2 linked regions of the Macaca mulatta genome follow. The protein of the gene in region 1 interacts with the protein of each later gene in a pairwise test. Links are inferred from orthologs where the notes say so. Each region holds a gene or a part of one and is shown on either strand. Other genes may lie near its edges.

Region 1 (7,450 bases):
CTCTATCTCGGCCGGGCGCGGTGGCTCAAGCCTGTAATCCCAGCACTTTGGGAGGCCGAGATGGGTGGATCACGAGGTCAGGAGATCGAGACCATCCTGGCTAACACGGTGAAACCCCGTCTCTACTAAAAAATACAAAAAACTAGCCGGGCGAAGTGGCTGGCGCCTGTAGTCCCAGCTACTTGGGAGGCTGAGGCAGGAGAATGGCGTGAACCCGGGAGGCGGAGCTTGCAGTGAGCTGAGATCCGGCCACTGCACTCCAGCCTGGGCGACAGAGCATGACTCCATCTCAAAAAAAAAAAAAAAAAAAAAAGCTTCTCTATCTCTTTGATTTCACCTTTCCCCTATTTTATCCCCACTATTAGTCCCACCCTCATTGCCCCTTTCCTTTGCATTGGCTTTTCTTACTATACTTGGATGTTGGTCAGAGACTAAATTATTTTGTACTCTCACCGTATCCCAGATTTGCAGTTTGATTTGTTTTCCATCAATGTTGACCATACGAGCTCCAAACTCCACACCTGTTGGTAAAGACCAAGAGAAAGAATGTGATTCTCATGAACAGCAGCCATGTGGAGTGGGAGGAGGTTCCTGCCTTTCCTCAATGTGTTATACCCATCCTTTAGTCTGAACTCAATGCCACTAATTCCATTATTGCTGCCTATTTGCTCCAATTAACTTTGTGTTTCTCAAGGTTCTTCATTTCCCTTCCGGAATTAAAAAATTGTGCTCTAATGACCTCAGGAATGTAACCAAAAAGCACATATGGGAAAACAAAACCAATTAAGAAGTCAAATTTAAAAGGGTAATTTTTTAGCAATGTCAGTTAATGCTTAAATTTGATTAGGTAACATTTAGTTTTGTAACTTTTCCAAAAAACTCCTAAAAATTCTGGAAATGCTTCCTGACACTTTCTCGGTCACTCTCTAGTCTCTATTTAAAACAATATTTATTTTTTTGTAATTCCAGATTTTTTTCTTTAAGAAAAGAGCCTAAGAAATAGGTTCTCAGAAACAATACTTTTTTTTTTTTTTTTTTTGAGATGGAGTCTCTTGCTTTGTCACCCAGTCTGGAGTGCAGTGGTGCGATCTCGGCTCACTACTGCCTCCACCTCCCGAGTTCAAGTGATTCTCCTGCCTCAGCCTCCCCAGTATGTACCTTACAGGCGCACGCCACAACGCCCACCTAATTTTTTTTAACAATACATTTTATATCTCCAATAATTGCCAGAGGAACAATTAAGCATTGTTGCCTTGTTAAGCATTGTATCATTAGCCCCTATCACAAAGTAAGAATTCACTCAATATTCCCTTTAAAATACCTTTTGGTTGATACTGCCTTCTAAATCCTTTTCTAACCCCATCAATTATTTGACTCTAAATAAATCCGTTAGAACAGTGGTAGCTTCAGATTTCCACACAGGTGTGACTTGGAAGTAGCAATATTGTAAGAATGGGGATGTAGGAGTTTTATTTAGAAACTGCATTTGCATGGCAACAAAGCTAGTTTCATATATGTTGTTTATTTGGACTGGGGTTATGGAGATAATGAAGAGGGGGTAGCTAAAAGCCCCTTCAGGCTATGCCTTATCACAAATGTGTGGGAAATGTTAATATTTTCCAGGATCCCCAGTGGGTATGAGGAACTGTTTAACACACTGTTTTATTTAAAAGGAAAGTTTTTAGTTTTATTTGCCTATTAATTCTAAGGCAGGGATGACTCTTCAATTTGCTTCTTCACCAATATAAAAAATGTCCATGTATTGGTGTTTACTTTTTAAAAGTAAGGCTGGTATTAATTTACTGCAAAGCACAGATGAGTTTACAAATAAGCAGTTATGCTTTCGTGGGATTTTCCATAAACATAAAAAATTGTACTTGAAAAAAATTATATGACAAGTCTCTACCTCACACTCCAAAAAGTTACCTTTCAATTATATACTCTCCCTTACACTACTCGCCACATATCAACGTTTGATTAACCACTTCATTAACATAACTTTGGACTAGTTTAAAGTAGTGAGGGATAACTTTTTACTTTGAACACTGAAGGCTGCTAACTTTCCACTTTAGCAATTTAGCTAGTCAGGTTTTATCTGTTCTGGAACAAGTAGATGCACTTACCTATTGTGAGGTCGTGGACAGGCTGGAACCGCTTATCTGTAAACTGCAGGAGGAGACATGACTTCCCCACACCTGAAAGAGAAAACACGCTCCCAGAGTCACGTAGCGTTGGAACACTACCCGGACTCTGGACTTCCCGGACCAGAGAAGCGGGGGGTCCCCGAGCCCCGCCCCTGGCCGCCCCGAACCGCCCCGCCCGTCTCGAATCGCCCAGCCCACAAAGTGAGCCCCGCCCCCGCCACCCAATTTGGGAGCTTCGGACGTCCGCCCCAGCCTTGAAGGCGAACAACCTGAGGGTTACCTGTGTCTCCGATGATGATATACTTGAAGAGATAAGCATAAGTCATGATGTCGCGTCCTCTGGGTTCCGGGTCCGCCCGACTTCTACAGCCACTTACCTCCAACCTCTCTAGCCACTCAATCTACCGATCTTCTTCTTCCCGGCCGCCCACCCTCTCCGGCTCCTCTAGCCCAGATCACGTCTCTATTGCTCTCCCCAGAAATCCTCCTTAGGTCGGGAGTACCCAACGCCACCTCCAGGGATACCTCTAGTACTTCTACATGCCATTATCCCTCCAAGCTCCAGGGGGCGATAGGCCACCGCCTGACTCGCTGCAGCCCCCACGGCGCTCCTTCCAATGAGCAGAGAGTAACGCACGTCCTTGCGGAAGTGACGGCAGTTCCGAGACCAGTGGGGGCGGTGGGAGCGATGAGGGTCTGAGACGGTGGGAGCGGTTGTGTGAAGATGGAGGTAGGAACCTGATAGCTAAGAAGGCTGGCGAGAGAACGCGGCCGACCGGGTTGAAGCAGAGACGGGAAGCCGGGTGGAGAGGCGACTGACGGGAGAGGAGAGAGCGCGGGGTTTGGGGAGTGTTGTCAGAATGTCGGGGTCAGAAGCCATCGCTCCAAGCTAATTCCCTGCTCCCCCTAACTTATCCCCGCGGCTTTCTTTTGGTTTCCAGTTTCCCGGAGGAAATGACAATTACCTGACTATCACAGGGCCTTCGCACCCCTTCCTGTCAGGGGCCGAGGTGAGCACGAGCTGCCGACGCCGCGGGGGGAGGGCCTGAGGCCGCGGTGGGGTAGGGTGGTGGGGAGGAGAGCACGCACTCCAGGGACGGGGGCTGGGAACCAAGGGCTGCAATTGGTGTTTAGAGAAAAGTGGCAGCTGCTTCTAGAGCCTATGGGGACTATCTGGGGAAGTCTTGGGAAGTTGCTGTCATCAGAAAAGCAAGCTATTGGAAAGAGATAACCTATTTAAAGAGAAAAGTGATTCTGGATTAGAAGACAGTGAAATTGTCTCCTTTTTCTGGGGAGAAATAACTACAGTAATCTTAAAGGATCGCAGTGGGAAGAAAATTTTTCAGCAGCTGAAGAAACTGGGGTGAGGGGAGGAGCTTACCTAGCAGAGGGTTGACCGTGGAACAGCATGTGTTCATTCCTGTAACGAACTCTGTTGAAGGGGTCTTTTTAAATTTGTTTCATTTATATTTCCTACTGGTTTTGTTTTGTTTTGAGACAGAGTCTCGCTTTGTCGCCCAGGCTGGAGTGCAGTGGTGCGATGTCGGCTCACTGCAACCTCCGCCTCCCGGGTTCAAGCGATTCTTCTGCCTCAGCCTCCCGAGTAGCTGGGATTACAGGCGTGTGCCACCATGCCCGGCTAATTTTGTATCTTTAGTAGAGATATAGTTTCACCATATTGGCCAGGCTGGTCTCAAACTCCTGACCTCAGGTGATCCACCCACGTCGGCCTCCCAAAGTGCTGGAATTACAGGCCTGAGCCACTGCGCCTGGCCTAAATTTACTACTTTAATAAAAAGTTTGTGGTTACCTTTACCTACACAGTGTCGGCTTGTTTTGCTAATGCCAGGAAGAAAGGAAATAGCTGCTAGAGAACATAAAAAGAGTTGAGTAGGATATGTGTTTCAGTTTTTCTGTGACTCAGACGTTGGGCACATTACTTCATCGTTGTATGTCATAGTTTCCCCAACTGTCAAACAGCTGTAATAATAGCTTCTTATGCTGTTTTATAGTAGAAGTAAAGGTTGTGATGAAACCCTAAAGTATTTGTTAAAAAAATCTGGTTGAGCCGGGCGCGGTGGCTCATGCCTGTAATCCCAGCACTTTGGGAGGCCGAGGCAGGTGGATCACCTGAGGTCGGGAGTTCAAGACCAGCCTGACCAACATGGAGAAACCGCGTCTCTACTAAAAATACAAAATTAGCCGGGGTGGTGGCGCATGCCTGTAATCCCAGCTACTCGGGAGGCTGAGGCAGGAGAATCGCTTGATCCCGGGAGGCGGAGGTTGTGGTGAGCCGAGATCGCGCCATTGCACTCCAGCCTGGGCAAAAAGAGGGAAACTTTGTCTCAAAAAAAAAAAAAAAAAAAAAAATTCTGGTTGAAATATTGTCATAATATAGATACGTATCACTTGTTTAGGAGAAGCAAAAGAGAACGGTGGAACAGACAAAAATTTCTGTCTTTGAGAAACTGAAGTCTTGAACCACGTGCCATTTTTTGAGGACTTTTAAATTTATTTTCAAAAGTGGTGTGGACCATTTGCATCAGTTTTTTGTACCAAGAATTGTCAGTGGCTGTCGCATGCGCTTATCCTATAATCCTAACGTTTTCATGGATGAAAATGGGGTTGACAAGGGGTAGTTGCTAGTTTAACTTTTTTTTCTTTTTTTGTCGGGGGGAGGTGACAGTCTCCCTGTAGCCCAGGCTGCAGTGCCGTGGCACGATCTTGGCTCACTGCAGCCTCCACCTCCTGGGCTGAAGTGATTCTTCTGCCTCAGCCTCCCAAGTAGCTGGGAGTACAGGTGTGCGCCACCACACCCAGCTAATTTTTTTTCTTTTTTCTTTTTCTTTTTGTATTTTAGTAGAGACAGGGTTTCATCATGTTGCCCAGGCTGGTCTTGAACTCCTGGCCTCAAGTGATCTGTCCACCTCAGCCTCCCAAAGTGCTAGGATTATAGGCATAAGCCACCATGCCCGGCGCCAGTTTAACTTTTTTGTTGCTTTATTAGTCTTATAAGCAGGGTAAGTGTGAATCTAGTATGTGGCAAACTTAGAAATGATATAAAACCTAAATCTGGACCCAGCACAGTGGCTCATGCCACTAATCCGAACTGTTTGGGAGGCTGAGGTGGGAGAATTGCTTGAGCCCAAGAGTTCTAGACCAGGTTGGGCAACGTGATCAAACTCCGTCTCTATAAAAAATAGTAATAATTAATTTAAAAAAAACAGCTGAGGCCGGGCGTGGTGGCTCATGCCTGTAATCCCAGCACTTTGGGAGGCCAAGGTGGGCGGATCACGAGGTCAGGAGTTCAAGACCAGCCTGACCAACATGTGAAACCCCATCTCTACCAAAAATACAAAAATCAGCCAGGCGTGGTGGTGCGCACCTGTAATCCCAGCTACTCAGGGGACTGAGGCAGGAGAATCACTTGAACCCGGGAAGCAGAGTTTGCAGTGAGCCAGGATCGCACCATTGTACTCCAGCTTGGGTGAACAAGTGAGACTCCGTCTCAAAACAAAAACAGCTAAAATGTGCTTGGTGCTTTGCACTCTCAGTTGCCAGTTTCTTCGAGTGAGATCTCCATTTTGAAATTTAATTATTTGAGTGTTGCAAATCTCATATTGGACTTACCTGCATGAAATTCCCAATTTCTCCTCAATCAGGTCTCCACAGTTTAAATTTTGTTATTTAGAGTGTTATAAATTTGACTTTGGCCTCATTCATGTGAAAGTGCATTTTAAAATGAAATACAAGTAGCTTTTAAGTTTACCCACTGTTCTTAATTCTCTACCCTGTTTATGAAATTGAATAATCAAGAGGTAACCACATTAAAAAAGTGGTTCCTTTTTGTTTTTGCTTTTGTGTTTGATAGAGACAGGATCTCACCATGTTGTCCAGGCTGGTCTCAAATTCCTAGGCTCAAGCGATCCTCCCACCTCAGCCTTCCAAAGTGCTAGGATTATAGGTGTGAGCCACCATGCCTGGCCCGAAGTGGTTCCTTTTTATGTCAAGAAACCTCCCATGAAGAATCATGGTGTATAGTGAAGAAAAGTAAATTTAAAGTATTAATAAGTAATATTATAATGAAAAAGAAAGAAACTTTCCAAGTTCAGTCTGTCCTTTGTTTTTGTTTTTGGGACTTAAGAAATCTTATTTTATTTTGCCAAGAAGCTGATAGCTAAGTTTTAGTCTCAATTTCAGTAGCTTCCTTTTGCCTGAGGCTCCTGTCATTGTTAACAGTTCTCCATTTTCTCATTACAACTTCTATACCTTCCCTTTCCCTTGGTAGTGGTGGTAATGATTGTTTTATAACTTATTTTAATGGGGTTATGGTTTTATTGTGAGCCATCCCAAATAGATCTTAGAAGTAGGTAAAGGTAACATTAAAAAAAATTGTTTTTACAAGAGAGGAAATTTTTAGAGTTTGCTGACCCTCCCTGAAAAAAGTAGTTGCCCATAAAAAGTACTAAACATTTAAAAAATGAATAATTGGTCTCCACTGTAATTAGGAACTTCTTTTCATCAAAAAACATGATTTCATAACAAATAGGCATTCCACAGACTGGGAGAAGATATTTACAATACATATATATATCTAACTCATATTCAGAATATATCAAGTATTTCTGCAGAGTAAAAGAAAGAATCCAATTTAAAAGGAAGCAAAGGCCAGGCGTGGTGGCTCATGCCTGTAATTCCAGCACTTTGGGAGGCTGAGGTGAGTGGATCACCTGAGGTCTGGAGTTCAAGACCAGCCCGAGCGACATGGAGAAACCCCGTCTCCTAAAAATACAAAATAAGCTGGGCGTGGCAGCGCATGCCTGTAATCCTAGCTACTCGGGAGGCTGAGGCAGGAGAATCACTTGAACCTGGGACGTGGAAGTTGTGGTAAGCTGAGATTGCACCATTGCACTCCAGCCTGGGCAACAAGAGTGAAACTCCGTCTCAAAAAAATAAAATAAAAGGAGGCAAAAGATTTGAACAGTCACTTCACAAAAGAAGATGTCCAAATTGCCAGTAAGAGTTGGCAAGGATGTGGATAACTCTTTTGTTTTTTTCTTTGTTTGTTTGTTTGTTTGTTTTGAGATAGTCTTGCTCTGTCGCCCAAGCTACAGTGCGGTGGCGGGATCTCGACTCACTGCAACCTCCACCTCCCACGTTGAAGCAACTCTTGTGCCTCAACCTCCTGAGTAGCTGGGTTTACAGGAATGCACCACCACACCTGGCTAATTTTTTTTAGTATTTTTGGTAGAGACCGGTTTTCACCACGTTGGCCAAGTTGCTCTCAAACTCCTGACCTCAAGTGA
Region 2 (7,779 bases), on another chromosome or scaffold:
CATGTAAGCATTGTTTTTAAAACCAAATAGTTGGGGGGAGGGGGGAGGGATTGCATTGGTAGTTATACCTGATGTAAATGACGAGTTGATGGGTGCAGCACACCAGCATGGCACAAGTATACATATGTAACAAACCTGCATGTTATGCACATGTACCCTACAACTTAAAGTATAATAATAATAAATAAATTTTAAAAATAATAATAAAAATAAATAAATAAATAAATAAAACCAAATAGTTAACAAATAATATGCATATTTTATCCACTCTACATAGGAAAGCAAAGTTGAGCTATAGCTAAGTCGGTCTTTAAGTTCCATTTAAGGGCTGAATGTAACTTCTGATATCATAGAAGAAAGAAAAATGAACTAAGAGATCTGAAGAGCAGTATGCAGCCTGGACAACATAGTGAGACCTGTCTCTACAAAAAAAAAATAATAATAATAATAATAATAATAATAAATATCCTGGCATGGTAGCGTGCACACCTGTAGTCCCAGCTACTGGAGAGGCTAAGGTGAGAGGATCACTTCAGCCTGGGAAGTGGAGGCTACAGTGAGCCATGATCATGCCACTGCACTCCAGCCTGGGTAACAGAAGGAGACTCTGTCTCAAAGTAAAATAAAGAGCAATATGACCAAGCTACATGTGAAAGATTTGGGAGTCAAAAAGTTCTACACTTTGCTCTCCAATATGGTAACCACTAGCCACAAGTGGAAATTACAAGTAAATAAAACTTAGGCCGGGTGCGGTGGCTCACGCCTGTAATTCCAGCACTCTGGGAGCCCGAGGCGGGTGGATCACCTGAAGTCAGGAGTTCATGACCGGCCTGGCTAACACGGTGAAAACCCGTCTCTGCTAAAAAATATAAAAATTAGCCGGGCATGGTGGCAGGCGCCTGTAATCCCAGCTACTCGGGAGGCTGAGGCAGGAGAATCGCTTGAACCCGGGAGGCGGAGGCTGCAGTTAGCCGAGATGGCGCCACTGCACTGCAGCCTGGGACACAGAGCGAGAATCCATGTCAACTCGCCAGGCAGAGGTGGCAGTGAGCCGAGATTGCGCCACTGCACTCACTCTAGCCTAGGCGACAGAGCGAGACTCCATTCCAAAAAAAATAATTAAACTGTTGTTTCTCAGTCCACTAGTTACATTTCAAAGACAGTTATATGTGCCTTGTGGCTGCTAAACTGGACAGCACAGACAGAACCATTTCCAACACTTAAGAAAATTCCATTGGATGACACCGTTGGTAGCTACGTGATCTTATGCAAGTTACTTAATTTCTGTAAATCTCAATGCCCTTATTTGTAAAGAGTGCATAACACAACCTAAATCGAAAGACTATTCGAATTTTAATGAGATAATGTATAAAAGCACAGGAATTAGTGCTTAGTACACATCAGATACCCCAGAAAGGAGCTATTAACACAATCCTGTATTAAACTTTCGTCTATAATGGTGACCCTCGACAAGTCACTTTCCCTTCCGGGGCCTCATTTTCCAAACTGACAAGTGTGGGAAATTCTTCTAGTTAGCTTCTAATGAACCTATCAATCAAATGCTACCAGGTTAAATAAAGTATTGAGCAAAAGGAGCACAAACTCCTACTGAGTAAACTGTTACCTAGGCTCCAAGAGCCTAGAGCTTCCTCACAGATCCCAAGCATTCTTCAAGAAACCCCAGAAGACTGGCTCTCCAATATAACCCATCGTCTGATGTGCGCTATTTATAAAGTCTGTCTTAAAAGATTACCGGAATATCTTTCTGAAATTGTGTATACTGTAATTAGAAGCTACAACCTCCTATTTCATGATGAGATCCTGCAGTTTTAACATCTTTTAAATGAACACTATCTTTACAGATGAATTTTTTTTTATCTTAAAGTCATTTAAACCACAACACTTTAAAAGCACGTGAGTTTAAAAACAATTTTGTAATGACTGATTTTTTTTTTTTTAATCAACTATGCCTCATTCTCAGTCAGCCTGTGGGTGCCCCTCTGGTATCTAAACAAAGTGAGAATTGTACCTTCATGGGTGAGGTCCTTTCGCAGGGCCAGAAACATGCCCAAAGACTTTATCCTCGTTAACAGCTGCTCCCAGGGAGCCAGGAAATTTACTGATCCAGTAAATTTCAGAGTCAGCCTCCAATGAGGGGGAACCAAGGGCCCCCACAAAAGGCACAAAACCAGCGCTCCCGGCTGCTATCCACTGTGGGGCGTTGCCCAGGCACCTAGGGTCACAGCTTTAACTTAGGGGTGGAGGAGCAACTCCGGCAGCAGAAATCATTACAGAGCGAAGCAATTTTGCCCAAGGCCTGAAGCCTCCAAAAAAAAAGTATTATTCCAGAGCAGATTCCTTTTCTTCCGGGTCTGTCTGCTCCTTCTGACTCTTTGCCCACAACCACCGTGCCTCCCCATTCTCAATGCCCCACCTCCTGCCACATTTATTTAAAAAAAAAAAAAAAAAAAAAGAAGAACAAGGAGGAGGAGAAGGAAGGAAGGAAGGAAGGAAGGAAGGAAGGAAGGAAGGAAGGAAGGAAGGAAGGAAGGGAGGGAGGGAGGGAGGGAGGGAGGGAGGGAGGGAGAAGGAAGGAAAGAGAGAGAAGGAGAAAGAAAGAAAACGATTTTAAAAAGCATATTCCCTCTCCCTTAGCTTTCCCTAGGAAGGCCTGGAAACTGGAGGAAATTCAAATCAAATTAGTTGCACATTAAAAAATAAACAGACAAGCAATCAGGAGGTGCCCACCCAACAAAAGACCTCACCCGTTCCAAAATATGATTAAGCCTGGGAGGGAAGAGGGGGAGGGGGACTAGAAACCAGCAGGGATGGAGAGATAAACCTGTGGATTTTTGGCCCCAGCGTTGACCCATTGCGGCCAAATTCTAAATTTTGTTTAAAGAAAATGCTGAGTCGAGGAGAAAAGAAAATAAAAAGTTATAACTTTTAAGGAAGTCTGCAAACGGCAATGTCTGAATAAAATGCCATTGCTTCCCTTCGTCTGGGATGGCAGGGTGGGAGCTGAGATTCCAAAAGCTCCAACTCCGACCGCGCACTCCTGGAAGCCTCCCCGCCAAAGGCGCCGCCGGGCGGCACAGCCCAGTCTCCCGAGACGGCGGGTCCGGGTCCTCTGGCTCCCACGGGACGCCAGGACCCGGACCTCTGGGAAAGTTCGCGGGCACAGCCCGAGGCCCCACTTTCTGCCGAGAGTGACAGGCCCTTCCCACGCCTGCCGGCCCCAGCCCAGCCGCGGGCACCAGACGGTCCGCGCGGCCTCTCCTGGCCGCCTCGGGGAGCAGATTCCGCCCGCCCGCCCCACCCCCGGCCGAGGCGCCCCTCGGGGTGACGGACTGACCGGAGCTCCGCTGGCCCACACACCGGGTCGCCCGCTCCTTCCCGCCGCGCCCCGCTCCCCCGCCCGAGCTTCCAGCCGCCAGGCTCGCCAAGTCCGGCCGCGGCCGCCGGTTACCGCCCCCAGCCCGGGGGGAGCCCGGGGGGCAGGACGGGGAGGGAGGACGTGGCGCGCTCGGAGGTGGCCAGCAGCGGGGCGGGGAGTGTCCCGGAGAGGCCCAGCCGGGGGCGGGGGAGCCAGGCCGGCGCGGGCTCGGGACCCTCCCCGAGAGCATCCCCGGGTTCGAGGCCCCCGACTGCCCCCGCCGGCGCGGAGAGGCGGCCCCAACTTCCAGCCCCACTTCGCACACCCGCCCTCTTTCCTCCACCATATGGAAATCTACAGCCTCAGAAAGTGACACGTCGAAGATTCCTCGGCCTCGCCGCCCGCCCTCCCCCTCCTGGGCAGCGTTCCTGCCGCGGAGATTCCGGGAGGGGGAGCGGATTCCTCGGACAAAATCTGCTGGGAAGGCTGGGGGTGGGGGGAGGCCGCGAGCCACTGCCCCAATTTTTTTTTTTAAGAGGAATCTACCCGTTTCTTTCACTCCTGCAAACCCTGAGGCAGGCAGCACAGGCGGGGAACCCGATCCCAGAAAGGCGGGGGCCGCCCCCTCCCGGGTCCCGTGTTCCCGGGGTGCCCAGGCGAGCGCGGGGCGCCCCAGCACTCCGGCGCCAAGTTTTTGCCGGGAAGCCCAGGGCGCTCCCGGGACAGGGACGCACTTTGGCGGACTCGGCATCAGGCCGGGGCTTTCCAGTGCACCGGACCCGGCGATTGCGCGTGGGGTCCGGGTCTCCTCCAGTTCCCGGCTCCTGCACGCCTTACCTTCCCTAGGGCTGAAACGCGGGGCTCCGGGCGCACCACACACCGGGTCGCCCACGCCTTCCCAGCCGGCAGCCCAAAGGATTCCTGACGCCCCCTTGCTGCTCCCGCCGCCGCCGCTCTCCTCCTCCTCCAGCCGCCGCCGCCGCCGCCGCCGCTCAAATAACTACCAGGAGGGTTTGATGGGGGATTCCGCCATGTCAATGATGTCGGGACCACATGGGGATTTGGGGCCCGCCCACTACCGTAAACCGCCGAGTATACCTGCCGCCACAATCGCAGGCTCGCAGAAGCTGTTGTCCCCGGCCCTGCCTAGCTAAGCAGAAACTCCTTTTGGTTCAGCCAGACTAAAGAAACCTGACGCTTAGGGAGCTAACAACTCCTGAATGGCGAGGGCTGCCGGTTCTCCAGATCGCCAAAATAATGTAAAGGCAATGTTTACTCAGTGATAATTAAGCCTAAGACTGACTTTTTTTCATTTACACATATATTTCCCTTTTTGTTGTTAACCCCCACAGCAACCTTGTGAGCTATATTACTCGCCTATTTCCCACAGCATTTTGTTCATACAGCTAACATAGTATGAGCAAATTTTATTACACTTAAGTTAAAATCTCTACTTCCTCTTTCTTCCTTTTGTTTTGTATTTTGTTGTTTTGGGGACCGCAGGCACTGGGCAAGCATGAGCCACCACACCCTTTTTTTTCTGGGGGGGGGGAGAATAGAGAGGGGGTCTCAATAGGTTGCCCAGGCTGGTCTGGAACTCTGGAACTCAGGTGATCCTCCCGCCTCGGCCTCCCAAAATGTTGAGATTACAGGCGTGAGCCACGTCAGCCAGCCTTATTTCCCAATGCGTTTCTCAAGGATAGAGACTGTTGCTTACTTTTATCTTTGTATCTGTAAAGGACAAGGACCACAATAGGACTCATTAAATAACTGTTGAGTTTATATTAAGTCAAATGTAATGTATTTCTGTTGTACAGTCTCAAAGAGGTTAACAGACTGCATCCCTTGCCACCCCTCAAATTATTCAGGAGACAAGAGAGCTAAAGTTAGCCTAGAGAAGCCCCTGCCATCCATAGCTGTCCAGGTATTCTGAATATCAGCCTCAACTATTAAGCTACAAAGGAGCATTCAGGGAGTCACCAGAGACAATGTATTACTTTTGTCAACCTAAAAAAAATAATAACAGTACATAATACTCTATTAAGTCTAAAGAACACTGAGAAATAGCTCCTTCCCTTGTACAATTTGCCATTCTTTGGGGGATTTTTTTTTTTTTCTTGGAAGCAATGGTGAGCCCAGAGAAATGGGGACCTGTCTCCTAAATGGCTTATTTCCTGTGGAGCTCCTCAAAGGGGAACTTGAAGCAATCCTTCTATAACACAACTCCTTCTATAATACAACTCCTTCTATAACACAATTCTGGGTTATAGTCCTGTATGAGAAGGGTGGGGGGAAAGGCAGTAGTTCCTTAGTGCCAATAGTGTACAGTCCAATAGATCTCATTTGCATCCAAATGCCTTCTCTGACTCCGGACTCTTTGGCTTCCTCAGGTGCCATGCCTTCAGCACAGCTCATCACTCATGGCTCCAGAAGGTACCTGTGTCCCTTTGTATGTGCCTTCCGTCTGAAATATACTTCTTCCCTATTTAAGATCATTTACTCCTTCTTGATCTCCGGCTAAGACCACTACCTCATTTCCTCCCTACAATCTCATACCTCTTTTCCCCACGATCTTACAATCCTTGTCAGTTCTCACATTGCTCTGAAGTTAGTTTTTTGTTTGTTTGTTTGTTTTTTGTTTTTTTGTTTTTTGTTTTTGTTTTTGTGTTTTTGAGGCTAGAGAGCAGTAGCACGATAGCAGCTCACTGCATGGTCAAGCTCCTAGGCTCAAGTAATTCTCCCACCTCAGCCTCCCAAGTAGCTGGAACTACAAGTGTGTGCCATCACACCTGGCTAATTTTTTTTTGTTTGTTTTTCAAAGAGACAGGCTCCCACTTTGATGCTGAGGCTGGTCTCAGACTCCTGAACTCAAGCAATCCTCCTGCCCCAGGCTCCCAAAGTGCTGGGATTACAGGCATGAGCCACTGCACCCAGCCTGAAATTATTCTTTATCTCTTCCACTTGACTGAGTTTTGTTCATGTTTGTATCCCTAGTATCAACCTAGAATTCTGCTTCGAATAGAAGACCCCCTTATGTTTGATGAATGAATTAATTGTAAAGTATGCAGAAGAATCTGAATGACTAGGTCAGTGAGCAAACTTCAGAGTGTGAAAGGTCAAATTCAGGTTGAAGGACAAGCTTGGCAGAGGAGGTAAAAGTAGGCAAGAGAAATTTGGAGGACAAATTTATTTATTCCTGTTTCTTCCACTAGATTGAATTTCTTCTTATTAGGAAGAAAAGAAATCAATGTACATATGATGCTTTATAATTTCACATGCATGTTCATATATGATAGTGTTTCATTCATCTTCTTTGCCCTAACACCTAACACCAGTTTTGGCACAGAAAATAAGCCCATTAAATGTTTGCAAAATGAGAGGAAGTATGGTACAGTGGAGAGAGTATAGAATATAATGAGAGAAAAGTCAGTGATGTTGGGCATAAAGTTCTCTGTACCTGAATTTTCTTATTTGTTAAATTGTGATCTTTAATAAACCTCTGGCCAAGGTTGTATAAAAAACTCAAGCACCTGGTACTCAGTAAATAAATATTGGTTACTCCTTGAATTAATGAACAAATGAGTAAATGAATTAATAAAGATATCTTTCTTAAAAGAATTAATAGGACAGAATTGGAAGCTTCAGAGAAGAAGGTGGAATTTGTGATAGAGGGCTCTCACCTACACTTTGAGGGATTTCAATTTAATACAGTGAGAATACTGTGGGATTATTGAGGCATGAAGTAATTGAAATAGGTTTCAAGGTTATCTTAGCAGCAGGATGTAGAACAAGGTTCATGTCAGAGATGCATGCCCTGAACCTACTTTGGAAATGATGAAACTTACACCAGAGTCATGGTTCTGGGAATAGGAAGAAGGACCTCAACCTAAGGCAATGAGTATGACTCTCTGGTGTTGACAACCTGTGTCATCTGCTGCTTTAGGTCCCAAATTATGAAACTGTAGTCATGGGTAAAACTTTGCTCCAAAAGCAGCTTAAGATTTCCTCAAATACAAAAGTTAACATCCAAATGAAGACGCCTAGAAGTTAAGGCCTATAACAAAATACAGAGACTCTTAAACCCATCTATCACCTGTGCAATGTAGGCTGAATCCAATTTTTGAAAAGATTCTTAGTCATACTTCATCTCCAATACTTTATATCAAAAAATGCAACACTAATGAATAGGAAAGATTGAAAGTATTGAAACTAGCATGAAAAGGTCTCAAACAATTCAACTTTTCTGAACACTTCTATAGTCTAAAATGTTTAAATTTGAAACTCTCTCTCAAAGATCACTCTGACCAGTAACACGTAATACCTACAAGACCCAGCTGCATGCTCAGTTTCAATGTCCTTCTTCTGCCTATAGCTCGAGTTGCTAGGTTCCCAACGCAGGCTCA

The links. The genes of interacting proteins can lie anywhere in the genome.
Region 2: the proteins of TOX4 (region 1) and FNDC3B interact in binary tests that used the Homo sapiens proteins (3 or more experiments, as listed by UniProt). The two-hybrid records come from large-scale screens. The link is inferred for Macaca mulatta from reciprocal best matches to the Homo sapiens genes TOX4 and FNDC3B.

Annotation. Positions count from the first base shown.
Region 1 is NC_133412.1:94,336,511-94,343,960, forward strand, and holds the start of TOX4 (TOX high mobility group box family member 4), read left to right. Parts: upstream 1-2,829; 5' UTR 2,830-2,868; coding exon 2,869-2,874; intron 2,875-3,085; coding exon 3,086-3,154; intron 3,155-7,450. Other genes in the region: RAB2B (ras-related protein Rab-2B), read right to left, coding at 454-521, 2,124-2,195, 2,425-2,470. UniProt on the Homo sapiens protein: Transcription factor that modulates cell fate reprogramming from the somatic state to the pluripotent and neuronal fate. In liver, controls the expression of hormone-regulated gluconeogenic genes such as G6PC1 and PCK1.
Region 2 is NC_133407.1:83,728,967-83,736,745, reverse strand, and holds the start of FNDC3B (fibronectin type III domain-containing protein 3B), read right to left. Parts: upstream 4,416-7,779; 5' UTR 4,214-4,415; intron 3,733-4,213; exon of another isoform or gene 3,356-3,732; intron 2,557-3,355; exon of another isoform or gene 2,030-2,556; intron 1-2,029. UniProt on the Homo sapiens protein: May be a positive regulator of adipogenesis.